2 linked regions of the Xenopus tropicalis genome follow. The protein of the gene in region 1 interacts with the protein of each later gene in a pairwise test. Links are inferred from orthologs where the notes say so. Each region holds a gene or a part of one and is shown on either strand. Other genes may lie near its edges.

Region 1 (7,935 bases):
ATTAATTTCTAAAAGAGGCAGCTTTAATCAGGTGTGACTTATAAACCTACTATATATAGCCCTGCCATGTTTAACAATAGCTCTTAGGATGGATGCAGGGGATGTGATTGACTTTTTTCCCCCCGACTTAAATGGTCACGTCCAATTATCTGCTAACACAGGACAGTACATTTTATACTATGTAAATGAATTACATGATTTTACTCACTTTATACATGTAAGGTACGCCACAGAGCAGGCATATCTTCCTCATCCTACATGTATTGGCCAGTGTTTGCACTTTTGCGTTCCGAAACGTAAGCTTTCCTGCAAGCATTACCATGATGCTAGATAAGCATTAGTGCCGCAGTTTCTTCTGATAAATTCTCTTTCCTTTATGCCTTTTATTGGTTGTTATACCTGTCAAACCTTGTTTTGTGACCTGGTTTCTCTTTAAAATATGTTTCCTGTCAGTTGGCCCTTGCCCAAGCTGGCTTCTGGTTTTCAGATCATGCTCAAGGCCTCATTACTACTGTTACAACCTTCTTGTAATTGATCCCTGCCTATTTTTTACCATGATTTATCGTCACCTGCCCTTTTGCTTATACTTGTTAATAATTTTGTCTCATCCTGAGATTGTAAGCTCTATGGGGGCAGGGACCTCCTTCCTATTGTCTCTTTAACAATTAGCATTTAATATTTAGGGAAGTGGCAAACGAGACCGCAGGCAACTAATCTCCCTGAATGTAAATCGCCGGTGGGATGGAATGTGTCGCTTCAGTTTTCAGAAGCTGCCTCACAAGGAAACTTGGGGTGATTTCCGAAAAACAAATTGATATGTATGCCATCCCACCGGCAATTCACAATTTTGCTGGTGGGGTGGCATTTCAGGCATTTAGTTGCCCGCGGTATCGAAGATTTATCATGGGTGACTAATCTTCCCATCTGCCACCTCCCTTAATGTAATTGTGTTTTGATTTATTATTGTATCAACCCCTATTAATTCACTGTTCTGCTGTACATAAGTAGAACTTTATAAATAAAATATACATACATTTTTGTCTTTAATTCACCGAAGTTTTTTCTGAAACATTTTGGGTTTCTTGTGAGCAGGTCCCCAAAAGGGTGTTGATGAGGACTGGTGTTTGTAGGGTTATTTTCACTTTATGAAGAAGTAAGGCTATTGTCAGCAGTCTTTCTCTGGGTATCTGACCAACTGTTGTTACAACACCACTACCAAAAATCAATATTGTAACAACAAATCAATAAAACTACTGAATCTTGTTTTAAATAATAATCCTTGTGCCAAAAGCATATTAGCAAAGACATAACTTCAAAGAAATGATATGACAGACTTCAGTATAACAACAATGAATATCTGGCAGCACTTCACTTATCCCAATCAAAAGAAATGATGAACCCATGTTTACAAAGGTTTAGCTGTTTTTTTTGCTCAAAGCCTTGGATTAATTTGTAGTACAGAGTACAAAGCCATGATTTGGGGATGTTTAATATAGTCTCTGTTGCTGCTTCCTTTATTTAAAATTTAGACCTAATTTGACCCAGCGTATATGAAATATTATTGTCAGAGTTTGATAGACACAACTAGAATGACAAAGTCCAAGAAACAAATTCTAGAATATACTCTTACTTTACTTCTTTTAAAGGGCTGAGTTCACACCAACATGCCCCCTTGCCAGGAGGATTTGTGCAAGTGTAACAGATTTGAAGGGAACAGTAAAATAAACAGATATTCTCTATGCAGGTGTGTGATTGGTTTTTATTTTTTTTTTATAGTTTCTGAACTTCTCTTTCTATTGTGCCTTTTTCAGCTACTCAGAATAAGTGTGCATCAAGCATGTTTGCATTTGACTTACTGGCTCCATTATTACCCTTTGTGTAAAAAGTAGTGGAGGACAGGCTAATCTGCAGAGGTGAGACTGTTTAATTTGAAGAATGCTTTTACAGTTGTATTTATTTAGTAATGTGATATTTGTTTCATTTCAATTTACTTTGTATATTGTTGGAATTTAAAAAGCATTATGAGCTTTGGCTCATGATGCCTGAAATGAATATATATATACCTTGCCTTGAGGTATCTACTGTGAAATTAACCACTGGTGAACTGCTGGGAGCTTTGTATTCATTCTAATAAAAATCTTAAAGAAACAATCCCCTTTTGTGACAATACTATGAAATAAAAAAAAGTAAAGGGGTCAGTTAGAAAGGCCCTTGGCACAGATGCAAGAGCACTAAAGGGCACAAGGGCTTATCTACCGAGCACTTGTGTCCAAAGTTGTGCTGTTTTTTGCAGGGAGCACCAGATCAAACATTTAGAATGGTGTTAGGCTGTTGGCAGCCTAGTCCTAACTTTCTACAACATATTTATTTCAATACTGGTGTAGAGATTTCAATTAACACTAAGTTGGTAGGGTAATAATTATTCACCCTGGACTAGTTGAGACACTGGTCTCCTGATCTTCAGGTGTCTGGGTTTCCACTGGCCAAGAAATTGCCAAACCTCCTGGCTGGCCCTGGCCCTGGCCAATGTACAGAAGCATTGATACCTGCACGTTTCTTCTTGCGTTACTAAGCCAGAAAGCATGAAGTCAGGGAGTACAATTATTTGGGGCAAAGGCTTCTGCAACTACTGAGAAAAAACAGCAATTAATGTATTAAATGTGACAGCTTAGGCAGCAGCACTGCCATCAGATGGGACAGAGGGAAATTTGGTCAGGGGCCTGATAGCAAGGGCTTCTCACAAGAGCTGATCTGAGACTTTTGGGCTAGTGGGTGAAGTCTGGGCTGATTGTGGACAACTTGGCAAAAATGGGAGTGAATTCGGGTTTTTTTGGAGCTCCATTGTACTTTTTTGCAGGATCCACTGCTCAGGTGTCAAGGAGTAGCCCCATAATTACTGATGGCAACCCTGTTAGGAGGCTACCAAAAGGTATTTCTGTGTATTAGTTGAAAACAATAAATTTAGCTGACGTGAAGTAGCCATATCTATTTTTATTTTACGTGTATCGTTTTTTCAAAATTACTAAGTATTTCACTTTGTTTTGGAAATTACACCTCATTCAAATATCATTTACAAAACCTAGAAACCCACAGAATGATCAAAGACAATGTCACTGGATCTTTTTTAAAACAAAAACAACCCTCACACGTGTAATGCATTCCTAAAACCGATAACGGTTACCATTTTTTATATACGCAGTACTAACTTTTGGCACTAGAGAAAAAATAGTCCTAGCTCGCAAATACGGCCAAATTTCAGAAACGGCTGGCGCAATGAAACACAGCGTGGGTTGAGATTTGACTGTACGTGCTATCGCCTGGGTCTTTAAAATGTACCAGGTCGTGCATAGATATTCATGCGCGGGCCGGCAGGGGAGGAGGTGGCGCCATTTTGTCAGGTTCTTGGGAGTCTGTAGCGGAAGACGAGCGAGGGGGATTGAAAAGCCGCTGCGGCGCCAAGACTGCCCCCTGCCCGGTTTCCAGTACGTTTGGGCTTCTGTTTTTATTGCGACAGTTTACTGGGTCCGCCATTTAGACTTTCGGAGCAATGGCAGATGTTGACAAGCTTAACATCGACAGCATCATACAGCGACTGTTAGAAGGTGAGGATGGTACTCGGGAAGGCCTGGCCGGGTTTCCTTACACTCTGTCACTTTACTTTCATGTGGTGGCAGGGTTGAAAGGGTTGCCATTAGCTATGTATGTGAGTGAGCAATGATGTATACACGGTGTTATTATTGGGGCAGCGGGGTTTGTAGCATCCTGGCTGGGCTCCTTGTGCTGAGATTGATATGGCAGTTGGAGCGGCTGTCAGCCTGCAGTTGCGTTACGGAGCCGTTACCGGAACAGGACTTTATTCTATACTCCGGTACATACAGGGTGCCGCTCTGATTGCTCATAGTATATATCTAGTTAATCAGGCTGTTGTACGAGTTATTGGCCGGACTGGCCCAATATACATTGTATAGAGGCGATCCGCTGGCTCCTAGCCGCTGCATGTGTATTCCATGTGCAGAATCCGGATTCACCCAGTATATCCGATCCTTAACACTGCGCAGCGCTCCATACACCTGGGAATCGCAGCGATCCGTATAGGGACCAAGGTGCTTCAGACTTTAGATTGAACTATGATTATTGCTCACTCCATAGGGGGCATGTTGTGCATTAGCTGATTATTTCCATTTGCCTTAGTTGACCTTCATAACTGTGTATATTGCCAATAGGTGGGGGTTATCCTGACCCTGTGCCACAGCTGTGCTGCTCTCACTCGCAGCTTTACTGATGCACTATATGGGGGAGTTGGAAGAATAGATTGTGTCATTTTGTGTAGTTTGCCTTTAGTTATGGGCAATGGGTGAGCAGCAATGACTGGATCTATTTTCATTTGTTGTTCTCATTAGTAAATTAATGCTGATGTGGTGTGACTTTAATGAGGAAATGTAAGCTACTAGCTCTGTGTAGAGGTGCCATTACATTTTCTTTTTTTTTTCTCTAACACTTTTTGCTCCTCGGTTCTCTATTTGGCAACTTAGGCTGCAATTCCCTTGTGGGGTTACAGGTCCTTGCAACCAGTTACTTGTTTAAAGGGCAACTGTGATAGGAAAATTGTTTACGGCTAATAGACCCTGCAACTCGGGTGGAAGAAAGCAATACTATTAGTGGGCATCTATTTATGGTATATAGTCTATATACATATATTTATGTATATGTAATGAGTTAACTGACTTACTCATTGTGAACATTCCTGTTGTGATGCACGCATTCGCATGAATGTGCCAGCTTATGTTTAGGCTCCAAATATGGCTGCCCACTTTACACTACCTCCTGGTGTGGACAGCATAGCCCTATTACATACAAAGCCAAAGTGTTTTTTGGGGCAAAATGTATAGTTTGCCCCAACCAGAATGCAGGCTTAATTAGCCCATATTTTCTGCGGTGAATGCAATTTTCTTGTTTTCTTTCTACTTCAAATTGAAGTACAAATAGTGAGTAAAAAAGGACATAATAAAAGCCTTGCAATGATTCTGAATTCCTAGTTCACTGACTTGCATTCACATGGCATTTTAGACCTTCAACTGTGAATATAAAGTAAATAAAAGTCAAGATTTTAATTGTATAAATCTGCAGCATACTAAATGTTAATGACTAAAATTCTGTAGGCTGATATGCTAATGTATTTGTAAGGGCAAAATATAAGTGGTTGTGTCCAGACAAGACAATGAAACCTTGTTGCTCCTATATTTTACATATATTAAAGGGGCATTATACCCAGTTTTCACCAGTAAAAAAAACATTGGCTGAGCTGGAAAAGAAAAAGGGGGTCAGCAAAAATATTTGCTTGCCCCAACACTCCAGCTGAAACCGAAGTTCTCTTGCTGTAGGCGATCAGATTCTTCAAACAACTGTCGTACCACCTTCTGTAACTATTAGTCTAATATTTAGGCGCAGGCCGAGCAAGGCTGGATTCCACCCAGCAAAAAACACATGGGGAACAATAATACCTCCTTTCTCAACATTTGTTTAATAAATAGGGGCTGAATATACTTATGTCTTTTGTTTTAATTGTGAAAAATCTCATTTTTATTTTGTGAGCTAAACAGGAAAACTGAAGCTATTCCATGTTTGGTCCTTGCGAGGTAGATTTTTAAAAATTGAAATGGGCAAAAAGTGTTCCGTAGAAGACCTATTTATTGATCTATTGTTAAACAAGGGGGGATACTGCACCTTTTAATGGAGACATATTGGATTTTTGAAAGTCACTCTCGTGTTGGTAACAATGAATAATATATGGTGCCTGATTCAGTGCCCTTAAGTGTTTACTCTGAAAATGTCACATTTAGAGAAGCTACCCATAGATCCTCTTGTCTATTACAAATGAGATGTGGGCTTGTCCTGACTTCTCCAATTTAAATATTGTGGAACGACCTAACTTAAACTGTTCATGTGAGGAAACCCACAAACATCCAAAAGCTGAAGCTGTTCTGTATAGAGGAATGGGCTAAAATTCGATGTGCAGGACTGATCAACGTTTGCTACAAACATAAAACATGTTTACATTTACTAATTCACGAACGCTCCGAGCGTATTTTTGGTGACTTTTTCGTACTTTGCGACAAAATTTGTGCGACAAAATCGTATTGTCGCGCTGAGTAAGAACGTTTTGGATACATTCAAGCTTTGGTATCGTGACTTTCCTTGGGCCAGGTTGGAGCTGCACAGTGCCATTGATTCCTATGGGAGAATTTCCTTGGGCCGGGTTGGAGCTGCAGAGTGCCATTGAGCCCTATGGGAGACTTTCCTTGGGCCAGGTTGGAGCTGCAGAGTGCCATTGAGCCCTATGGGAGACTTTCCTTGGGCCAGGTTGGAGCTGCAGAGTGCCATTGAGCCCTATGGGAGACTTTCCTTGGGCCAGGTTGGAGCTGCACAGTGCCATTGATTCCTATGGGAGAATTTCCTTGGGCCGGGTTGGAGCTGCAGAGTGCCATTGAGCCCTATGGGAGACTTTCCTTGGGCCAGGTTGGAGCTGCAGAGTGCCATTGATTCCTATGGGAGGCTTCCAAAATCATGCACAGAAGGATCAAAGTCGGAAAGGGTTGCCTGCATTTTACGATTGTTCGGTACGAAAATTTCAAGACTTTCGGATCGGCAATACGATATCGTGACTAATGAGATTTTTTCATAAGCATATTCGTGATATTTGCGATCTTAAGAAATTATCGTATCCAATCCGAATTTATCCCATTTGGGATTCGAACTCATGTTTTCATTTAGTGTATTTATGTATGTATCTTACATCAAGCAAGAACATAGTCCTACAAACTGCAGTTGTCTATGAGGCTAATACATTGGTACAAAAATCAACTTTACATTGATTGGTCATTCACATTCTTGGTTGCTATTTTAAAATTGTACTTGTAGTGTCAATATAGAGTGGTGCCATTGCAGTATGAACATCCTTTTTAAGTATTCTGTTGTACTAATTTGCATTATTTCTCCCCATAATATGCTAGAACCAGGCTGACTGTTTAACATATTAGTCAATTAGAAACCAGATAAAGCGGTGACTGGCTACCTACCTACCCTTGCTTTTGGGTGAGGATTATTGGTTACAAGTGAGTGGTGTGTCTTGATGGACCACAGTGGCTCAGCAGCATTTTAAACCCTTATTGAGGTTGGGCTTCATATATTCATGACTACAGGATGTGATTTTTCTAAAATATCAACCCTTTTTAGTATACTATTTTCAAAATTGAATGTCATGGTTTATTATACCCTTTATGTTGAACCATTTAATTTTGTTCTAGTTAGAGGATCAAAACCGGGAAAAAATGTTCAGCTTCAAGAGAATGAGATTCGAGGGCTCTGTCTGAAGTCTCGGGAAATCTTCCTCAGTCAGCCAATCTTGCTTGAGCTTGAAGCTCCTCTTAAAATATGTGGTAAGTGCCGTGTTTAATTACCAGTGGTTATGTTGGTAGAGTAGATTCCACTTACCTGCCAGTTAGCAGGGCTGCACAAGTTTGATCTGGTCTAGTCTACCTATACATGTCACTTCCTGCTTATGGTAGACATAATGCTACCGTTCATGAATAACCTAGTTCTGACTGGAAACTTATTAGTCAAACCTGTACAGACATCAGAAATGTGTGCAAACTCTCTCTGCAACAACTGATTATCAAGCATCTCCACCTAATGGTGAGCAAAGGCCACTGCAGCTATTAATAAATCTCTTCTCCCTAAGGAAGCTATAGCAATAGTATTGGCAACATGGCAAATTCACTTATATTGATAAATGAACCTATTAATGCCAAATTACTCATCCCTAAATGGTAAATCTTTTTTCAAGAAATGGTTGGCTCAGTTACAAACAGTAAATGTATTTACCTTTTTAGTCTTGTTGGCAAAGGGGGCCTAACCAACCATTTTGTGTGTTCTTGT
Region 2 (7,889 bases), on another chromosome or scaffold:
CAGCACATGATCAATGACAATACTTGGAACTGGAAACTGGAATCTATAACCTAAACAAATCAAGACAGGACCCATTATATACAAAATTCGCATTAATCAAGAAAATGGAAAATAAAAGCTTTGCTGGTAATTTTCTGATTTATAATAAAAGATGGGGGTATCCTAAAAGGCTGGATTAAAACCATCAATATGCACCCCATTTACTTGCATGGCAGGACTCTTTAAGCACAGGTACACTTACTTGTCAGGAAACTTGGAAATGCTGACAGCTCAAAAATTACACTTGGTTCCATTACTGTTAAAGGGGCAGCATACCCTCTTTTTAACCTGAGTTCATTGGGGCTTGTGCTGAACATACTTTCAACCAATTGTTTAAATCATAATTTATTTATTTTTTGTAACTTCATGAGCTAAATGGGCAAACTACAGAAGCTACTCCATATTTGGTTCATGGGAAGTAGATAATTTGATTTCCGGTGTAGACTCCAGTTAACAGAACAGTGGGGAGGTGGGATGTATACAGGGCATCTAAATTGTGATTAAAACAAAAGAAAAAAAAGAATATACAATACTGCCCCTCAAAGGTCTCTAGCGAATAGTGCAAAAAATTAAGCACTCATTCATAGCATTTATAAAATGTAATATTTTTTTGCAATTTGCAATGTAATAACAGTCCACTGAACAATATTACATTGTGAAATGCTAAATTGTATTCTTATTTGTGCGCATTTTTTTTCCATTTATGACTTTTATTACATTCCCCCATAAGTGTGCAAATATATAACTTTGCAGCATGTTCAGTACTACATTTGTCAAAGAGCCTGGCTGTATTTGAGATCACATTAAAGCCTAAAGCTGGTTTGTCCAGGGATCAAAACTATAAAGCAGTGCAATCTCCAGTAGTTTTCTTCAGACCACATACAATTTTCAGCTCTAAGCATTAAGCGTGTGCCAAAGCAATTCTGCATCAGTGTGGATTAAATTAGCTGTGTGTTGTAGAAATAATGATAACAGTATCCAGACATTCACGCATGAATACTCAAATCTTCATTTACTTGTTTATTTATTTGTTTTGGCTTATTCTCTAAAAAATGTTTTGAATTGGCAGCAGTGTGAATGGTGTGATGTTTGCTGCTCGGTAGGCCCTTAATTCTTATCCTTCTTCGTTAGATTTCAGCTTTTTGCTATCAGCGAGACTAGAACCAGGGATTTCCTTCTGAAGATATTATTTTTTTAATCTCATAAACATCCTCTATACAACTTATTAATTAGACCCTCCCATCCCCTTGGGTTTCTAGGCCATGCCTTGTCTGGTTTCTTGTAAAATAAATGACACATTCAGAATTCTCTGCTATGATCAACCTTACCAAGGCAATGCAATTACAACTGACTCAGAAAACTATAAGAGTTGGGATTAAGCCAAAAAAAAGTGCTAAGAGCACCTTTTGGTTCAGAACTGCAGTAAATGTTGAGGAAATAAATACCAGCACGCTATGGCTGGAAATTTTCTTGAAGAGTTTTTGACTTCAGATAAAGGTAGAATCGTGTAAGCCTTGCTGGAATGGCTATCTTTAGCAATAGTAACTTGACATGGCAGATTCAGTGGCCTAGATAAGATTCTAGCTAGTTTCTACTACAAATCAAACTACTAACTTAGGGAACAATTATAACAAACTGATCATCCCTCCCATTTATTATGTGTCCATAAACTTTTTTTTCTTGGAAACTACTAGAAAAATGGCTCCACCATTTAGTATGATGCTTTTGGTGGGGGATGTTTTCTCTGAATATGATAAATCAGTGGAGACATGTTATGACCCATGGTGGAACAAGCTAGGCTGTTTAGGACATGTTATGTTAAAGAAGGAAAGGCTAAGTCACTTGGGGGTGCCAAAATGTTAGGCACCCCCAAGTGACTTTAATCGTTTACCTTGTACCCTGGGCTGGTGCCCCTGTTAGGAGAAAACCGCACCAGCCCGGGGTACCTGCAGCGAGCACTTCCACAAATTTATGAATAAAAATGCATCATCTGTGAACAAAAAATTGTCATGTTCAGTTGTCCAGATCTGTAAAGTCATTGAAGGTTTGGATGTAGTTCAGCTGAATAGTTAGGATCTTCTGACTCCTGCTCAGCAATGACTCTGAGTGTGCAAAACAGAATACACAGAGACAGGGGATGACTTTGATGTAGTTGGCCAGCTTGAAGTACATTGACAAACAATCCCTGTTTTGCTTTAAGGGGAGGGCATTTCTTGGTAGCTTAATGCACAAAATATCTCAATGTTCTATATGTATATTGGATCTTTTGTTGTTGTCTGCCTTAACGAGTGTCAAGGTTCACTTTAGTTGCTGAACTTAAATGCAAAGGTGACAGAAGAGCATTTTATTTGGGCATTAAAAGGTGTATAACAAAGCCCCTTTGAGCTGACTAAAGTGCTGCACAAAGCACATAAATTATAGATGAATACATTGAAAAAAATCATTTTTGAGCTTTTGTGGTCATACAAAGTAAAAAGCTACAGTAGAGAGAGTAGAGCAAGCTTCAGTCAATCTAGAAGCTTCTGGGAGCACCAACCAAAGACATTTATTCTTTTAACATGAAACAGCCTTGGGTGTAATGTTCTGCATAATGCTGTTGTAAGCAAAGTTTGTAACAGATATGTATAGTGTTGGATCCCTTTGGACATTGGGGAAACATAAAACTTCATTACTGAAATACATAATATACTCACATAACCTTCTGTCTCCCTATCAGATAGAAAGTTTCATGTAGTCATTATATTTAAATTAGTCTGTTTCAGTGCCTGAGTAGGGGTGATCAGCCAAACTGTCTGTTCAAATTCCCATTCTTGCACTTATATGTCTTCACGACCCTTTGAAAGTCTGTATGGTGTGAAGGGGATGTAGTATTTCTATTTGACGTCCATAGTACAGCTCACCGAGAGCATCTGTAGCCATCTTCTTTCATTGTGCATATGTGTAGGCAACATATAATATTTCTAGGGTGCTTGTACTCACTGGGGTCACAGGAAGCTGTAAGCACTGTAAAATTCTGACTGATGTAATTGAAAAGTGATCTCTGGGTCTCCTCCAGAATGTTAGTAATACATTCTGGTACTACCACCAATTGCTCCCTTTTATCAATGTCCTACAAGAACATTTTAGGAGGTACATGACTTCTGGATGATTGTTTAATGTCTAAGTTACAGCATTGGATTTAGTTATTACTCTCAGTACCTTCTCCTATAGATTTATTTTCTCCTAATAGTTTAGGAAAGAAAGGAGACTACTTTTCCTCATATGATGATTCTTCAGCAAGCCTTCCTGCATAGACTACATTCAATATCAACTTAATGATAACTAATCTGCCCTACAAGCCCACCTCAGGTTTTTATCATGTCATGGCATATTCATGGGTATATGATATTAATATCATGTTCTTTTCTATCTCTATTATATTAAAACACTTTTACTGTAAGGAAAGAATTCCTAAATGCGATAATAAGCATATTGTTGAAACTTGTTTTCTTGAAAATGCCCTTCACAGCAAATTTAAGCTTCTTGTTTTATTCTTTGGATTTTGAAATACCAGGAACACCGTGTGTGTTCACAGGAACACATCCAAACTTCCTCCTCAGGACTCATGCCAAGAATCCAACCTGCCTCAAGAAGGGTTAAATGGGCTGTACCAGTAAACTGATCTAAGAGAAATTCAGAGTATAGCAAAGTTGCTTTTTTATGCAGCTGTAGCATGAGGAACGAGGCTGGATTGTCCCATGAGCTGTGTGGTATAAAGGTTTATACAAGAGAAGGTCAGTTGTTGCAAACTCTTTGGATGACAGAGGTGTAGAGGATGGTTACTTCAAAACACTATTTATATTTGTAATCTCAGATTTTCTAGCCGGTATAGCAGAGCAAGGCATTGCGATTGAATTGTTCTACTTTTTCTTTGTCTACATGTGCTCTTGTCTACTGCTCTTTGGGATAAAGTCAGGATTTTTGTTTAAATAACACAGACCCCGTTGGCATGGTGGTTGGTAAATGCTTATAATAGCTGTATATAATATTTTTTTTAGATACAATGCATGTGACAACATTGTTTGGTAAGTGGGAACACTAGAGGCAATAAAATAACTATTCTGTTTTAATAGAAGAAATCTAATTCTATTAAATGCTTATATATATGTTTCCTTTTTCCTTTATTTAACGTGTATTTACAATGAACCCCCCCCAAAAAGTATCTATTGTAGTTTTTATCAGTTAAAAACAATTAAAAAGGTATGTATTTCAGTGTTGTGTATTAATACAGACAGTTTTACTGTTGCCCTGAATAACTCCCTACTGTCTTGTATCGTTTCATAGGTCCCATTTGTTGTGTAACTGGATTTCTGGGATTAGTTTATTAGATGTTTTTATTATTGTGTTTACACAGATATCTACTGTGCTATATGCTATACCTTATCTAGGGATATATACAGGCATATGATCTATTATCCAGAATAATATAATTTGGATCACCATTTGCCACCAGTATGTATTCATGCAGCATAATTACCTTTAATACAAGGTTCTATTATTATAGAGAAAAGTAAAATCTTTTTTTAAAAAAATTAGAATTATTTGCTTAAAGTTGAGTCTATGGAAGATGGCCTTTTTGTAATCTGGAGCTTTCTGGATAATGTTTCTAATGGTCTTATTCTAAGGAATCCTATATCCATACTGCATTCTAAATACAGATAAACTGATTTTCATCTTGGCACACATCATATATTTTAACAGACTCACAAGGTATCATTTAATAATATGCATTAAACACCATTTCTTACCCCCCAAAAAAGTATAGTATAAACCCACAGTAGAACTGGCAGAGCTTTTGCGATAGGTAGATTCGTATTAATTCCACAAAGCACTGTTCATACTTATACTAATTCATTGCTCCTGGCTGATGTGCCCATGGCCCTGGAGCTGACTGACACCTTGACAAGGAATGTGCCCATTTTGAATGTTGCATTATTGGACTTTATAGAACTTTCATGCTAATAGAGTTTTCTTTTATTAATTTAGGAAGAGCATTTCTTATCATTTACACCCAAAAGCTGCTTGAAATTTAGTCCACTGGTCCCCTATAAAATAAATTATATTTAAATATGTTATTTATATTAAAAAAACATTTAAAAAAATATAATTTACAGCATGCCTGGTAAAATGTGTACAAAGCAGCAAAAAATATGACTACACTCAACAGGCTTGGTGTAACAGATTTTAATAGACAAACAAAAAAATTCCAACATTTCGGTCACATCATCATGATCTTCCTCAGGGAAAAAAACTATATACATATTTGTAGTTTAAAATAGCCAGATTAAGCTGTTTGACACCTCTTCTGCCAGCCCATTTTCAAACTTGCGTAATAATTCTCATCAAGAAAGAAGATGTTATCACAGATTTATGTTGCAAGAGTTACTTCACACTTTTACCTGCAGTCATGTAAATTCTCTGAAGAGAATGATTTGGCTGGCTGACATGGAGGAAACTTGTCAGCTTAATGGCATGATTCTTTTTTCATTTGCAACTTACTTTCCTCTTACTGGGTTCATTTAGTTATACTGCTAGAACACAAAATAAATAAATGCCTGGGTAAGTATGGTTGGGTGTGATAGTTCTAATCTTTGTATTGTGTAATAAATTCTGGAAGTATGACCAAAATGTGGTCACTCCCATATCTATGTAATTAAAGGAGTACTAAAGCAAAAACAAGGGTAACTAGAAATGCTGAACATTATGTACTGAATCAGTAATGGTCTATGCCTTCAAAGTTGCCCAGAGAAACTCCCCATCTTCTAATCTTGTGATCCACCGCACATGCTCAGTGGCTCAGGAGTCCCTAAGTTTAGGGGTCATCATTATAAATCAAAACCTTTGCAGAAAGTGAAATTCTGTTGTATCAGTTAATGTTACAGAGATTATCAGCCTTGTACTTTGAATTTTATATGGTACAGTCAATTTATACAGTCTTTGACTATTATTGCAATAAGAAATAATGCCTTATTAAGTAAATAATTAAGGGCCAGCAATAAACTTTGGTGATAAAAATGGCTTTTGCACATTGAAAGTTTATAGCAGGATCTTCTTAGGACCGCTATACTCTCTATTGTTACACCCATTTTTAATTCTATAAAGTTCCCCATTTACCAAACTAATTCTAATTTCTTCGGATTTCAAATTTATCAACATGCCCCAGCTATGATGTCAGAACTACAGCATTATAGCAATATTTATTGTAGGAGAATATAACAGTGCACCTAAAGTTCAGATTAGCAAAATACTGAAACGTAACGCCTTGATCTTTCTTCATAATAGCTGGGAAAAATATGGCTAGGTGTAAAACCTAAATTAAACAGATTGTCCTTTCTGAACCACCATGAAAGTGTAGAAAAATCAAGTGATTCTTTGTATGTTTCCTGTAAAGCACAACCCTTGAATCCTGACAGCAATGCAACAAGAAAGCAGTATTTTATAAATTCCATTGTATTTGTGAATCACAAATATGACTCATTGGAATAGAAACTCGACTGTAGAACTGAGGTGCACATTTGAAAGGCGTCTGATGAGAGATTGCTGGATAATACAGTACATAGGATTTCGCCTTGATATGATGTGTTGGTGAATTATTTTTAATCGTTGGCCCATCTTTAGGTGTGGGTCTCAGGATTCTTAGATTAAAAACACTTTTCTGCTCTTTGTTTTAGTGACTATGAAGCCTTCATCATCTTTGGTTTAACTGCATATTTCGAATAAGATGGATGAATTGGTTGTTCTTGACCTCCTGGATTGCCCCTTATGCCTTGGAAAATTGGATGTTAATGCCAAGGTGCTGCCATGCCAACATACCTTTTGCCAGCCTTGTCTGCAGAGACTATTTAAAGCCAAAAAGGAACTGAAATGCCCAGAATGCAGGACCCCTGTACAATGCAGCATTGAAGAGCTGCCAGCCAACTTATTATTAGTACGAATACTAGATGGCTTGAGAGGTGGGCAAACCCTTCTGAGAAGAAACTCCTCACGGAGGATGGGGGGACTCTTTGCCCAAGATTCTTTAAAGAAGAGCAAAGCAAACAGAGCAAGCCAGGATTCTACAAGTAGGACCATTTCCAAGGCCAGGATGCCTGTAGATGGGGTAAGAAAATAGGCTGTAATTTCTCTATAATTAAGTGGGTGAAACCATATGGCATTCTAAATAAAACACCAGAATAGCTACATAGCTACAATAAAAAGCAAGAATAGCTACATAATATTACAGATAGTAAAGCTACGCAGTTTAGAGTAATTTCCTAGTGCAGTTATAGGGCTTTTTCTGATTTCTTTCAGTGGGAAGGGGATGGGTGATACCTCCACTGCCACAATTTAAGTGATTGATATGAAATGGTAAAGGTTGTTTTGTCTATATGGTTGTGAAATCTTGTCTTGCATAAGACGGCAGAAACCAGAATAATATTACATCTTATAAAAGCACCTTTTACATGTCTCAACATCATCGATATTGAGACGTGTAAGTCATCGACATTAAGTCATACATATTTTTTCAATAAGAGGTTAAAATCCATATGTCGCTTCCATGTTGCTTGCATTAGATGAATTAATGAAAAAAAATCACAGTGCATTTATGCAAGAACGCTCAGCGCTGAATGTCAATTCAATGCGGCTTTTTTTATCCTGTTATCACACAACAGGGATAATCACGGATTCATGATGACTGCTCATAAATCTTGATCATCTGCATAAGGGATATGTCTTGAGATTGGGTATTATTAGCTCTAAATCAACATTTTACCTAAGGGTCTAAATAACTATTTAAGAAGTCAGCAGAACATATGGCTTGGTATAATGCA

The links.
Region 2: the proteins of ppp1cc (region 1) and sh3rf2 interact in a two-hybrid assay, tested with the Homo sapiens proteins (2 studies listed by BioGRID and IntAct). The link is inferred for Xenopus tropicalis from reciprocal best matches to the Homo sapiens genes PPP1CC and SH3RF2.

What each region holds. Positions count from the first base shown.
Region 1 is NC_030677.2:162,951,367-162,959,301, reverse strand, and holds the start of ppp1cc (serine/threonine-protein phosphatase PP1-gamma catalytic subunit), read left to right. Parts: upstream 1-3,369; 5' UTR 3,370-3,547; coding exon 3,548-3,602; intron 3,603-7,304; coding exon 7,305-7,436; intron 7,437-7,935. UniProt on the Homo sapiens protein: Protein phosphatase that associates with over 200 regulatory proteins to form highly specific holoenzymes which dephosphorylate hundreds of biological targets.
Region 2 is NC_030679.2:39,618,654-39,626,542, forward strand, and holds the start of sh3rf2 (E3 ubiquitin-protein ligase SH3RF2), read left to right. Parts: upstream 1-3,740; 5' UTR 3,741-3,812; intron 3,813-6,749; 5' UTR 6,750-6,799; coding exon 6,800-7,177; intron 7,178-7,889. UniProt on the Homo sapiens protein: Has E3 ubiquitin-protein ligase activity. Acts as an anti-apoptotic regulator of the JNK pathway by ubiquitinating and promoting the degradation of SH3RF1, a scaffold protein that is required for pro-apoptotic JNK activation.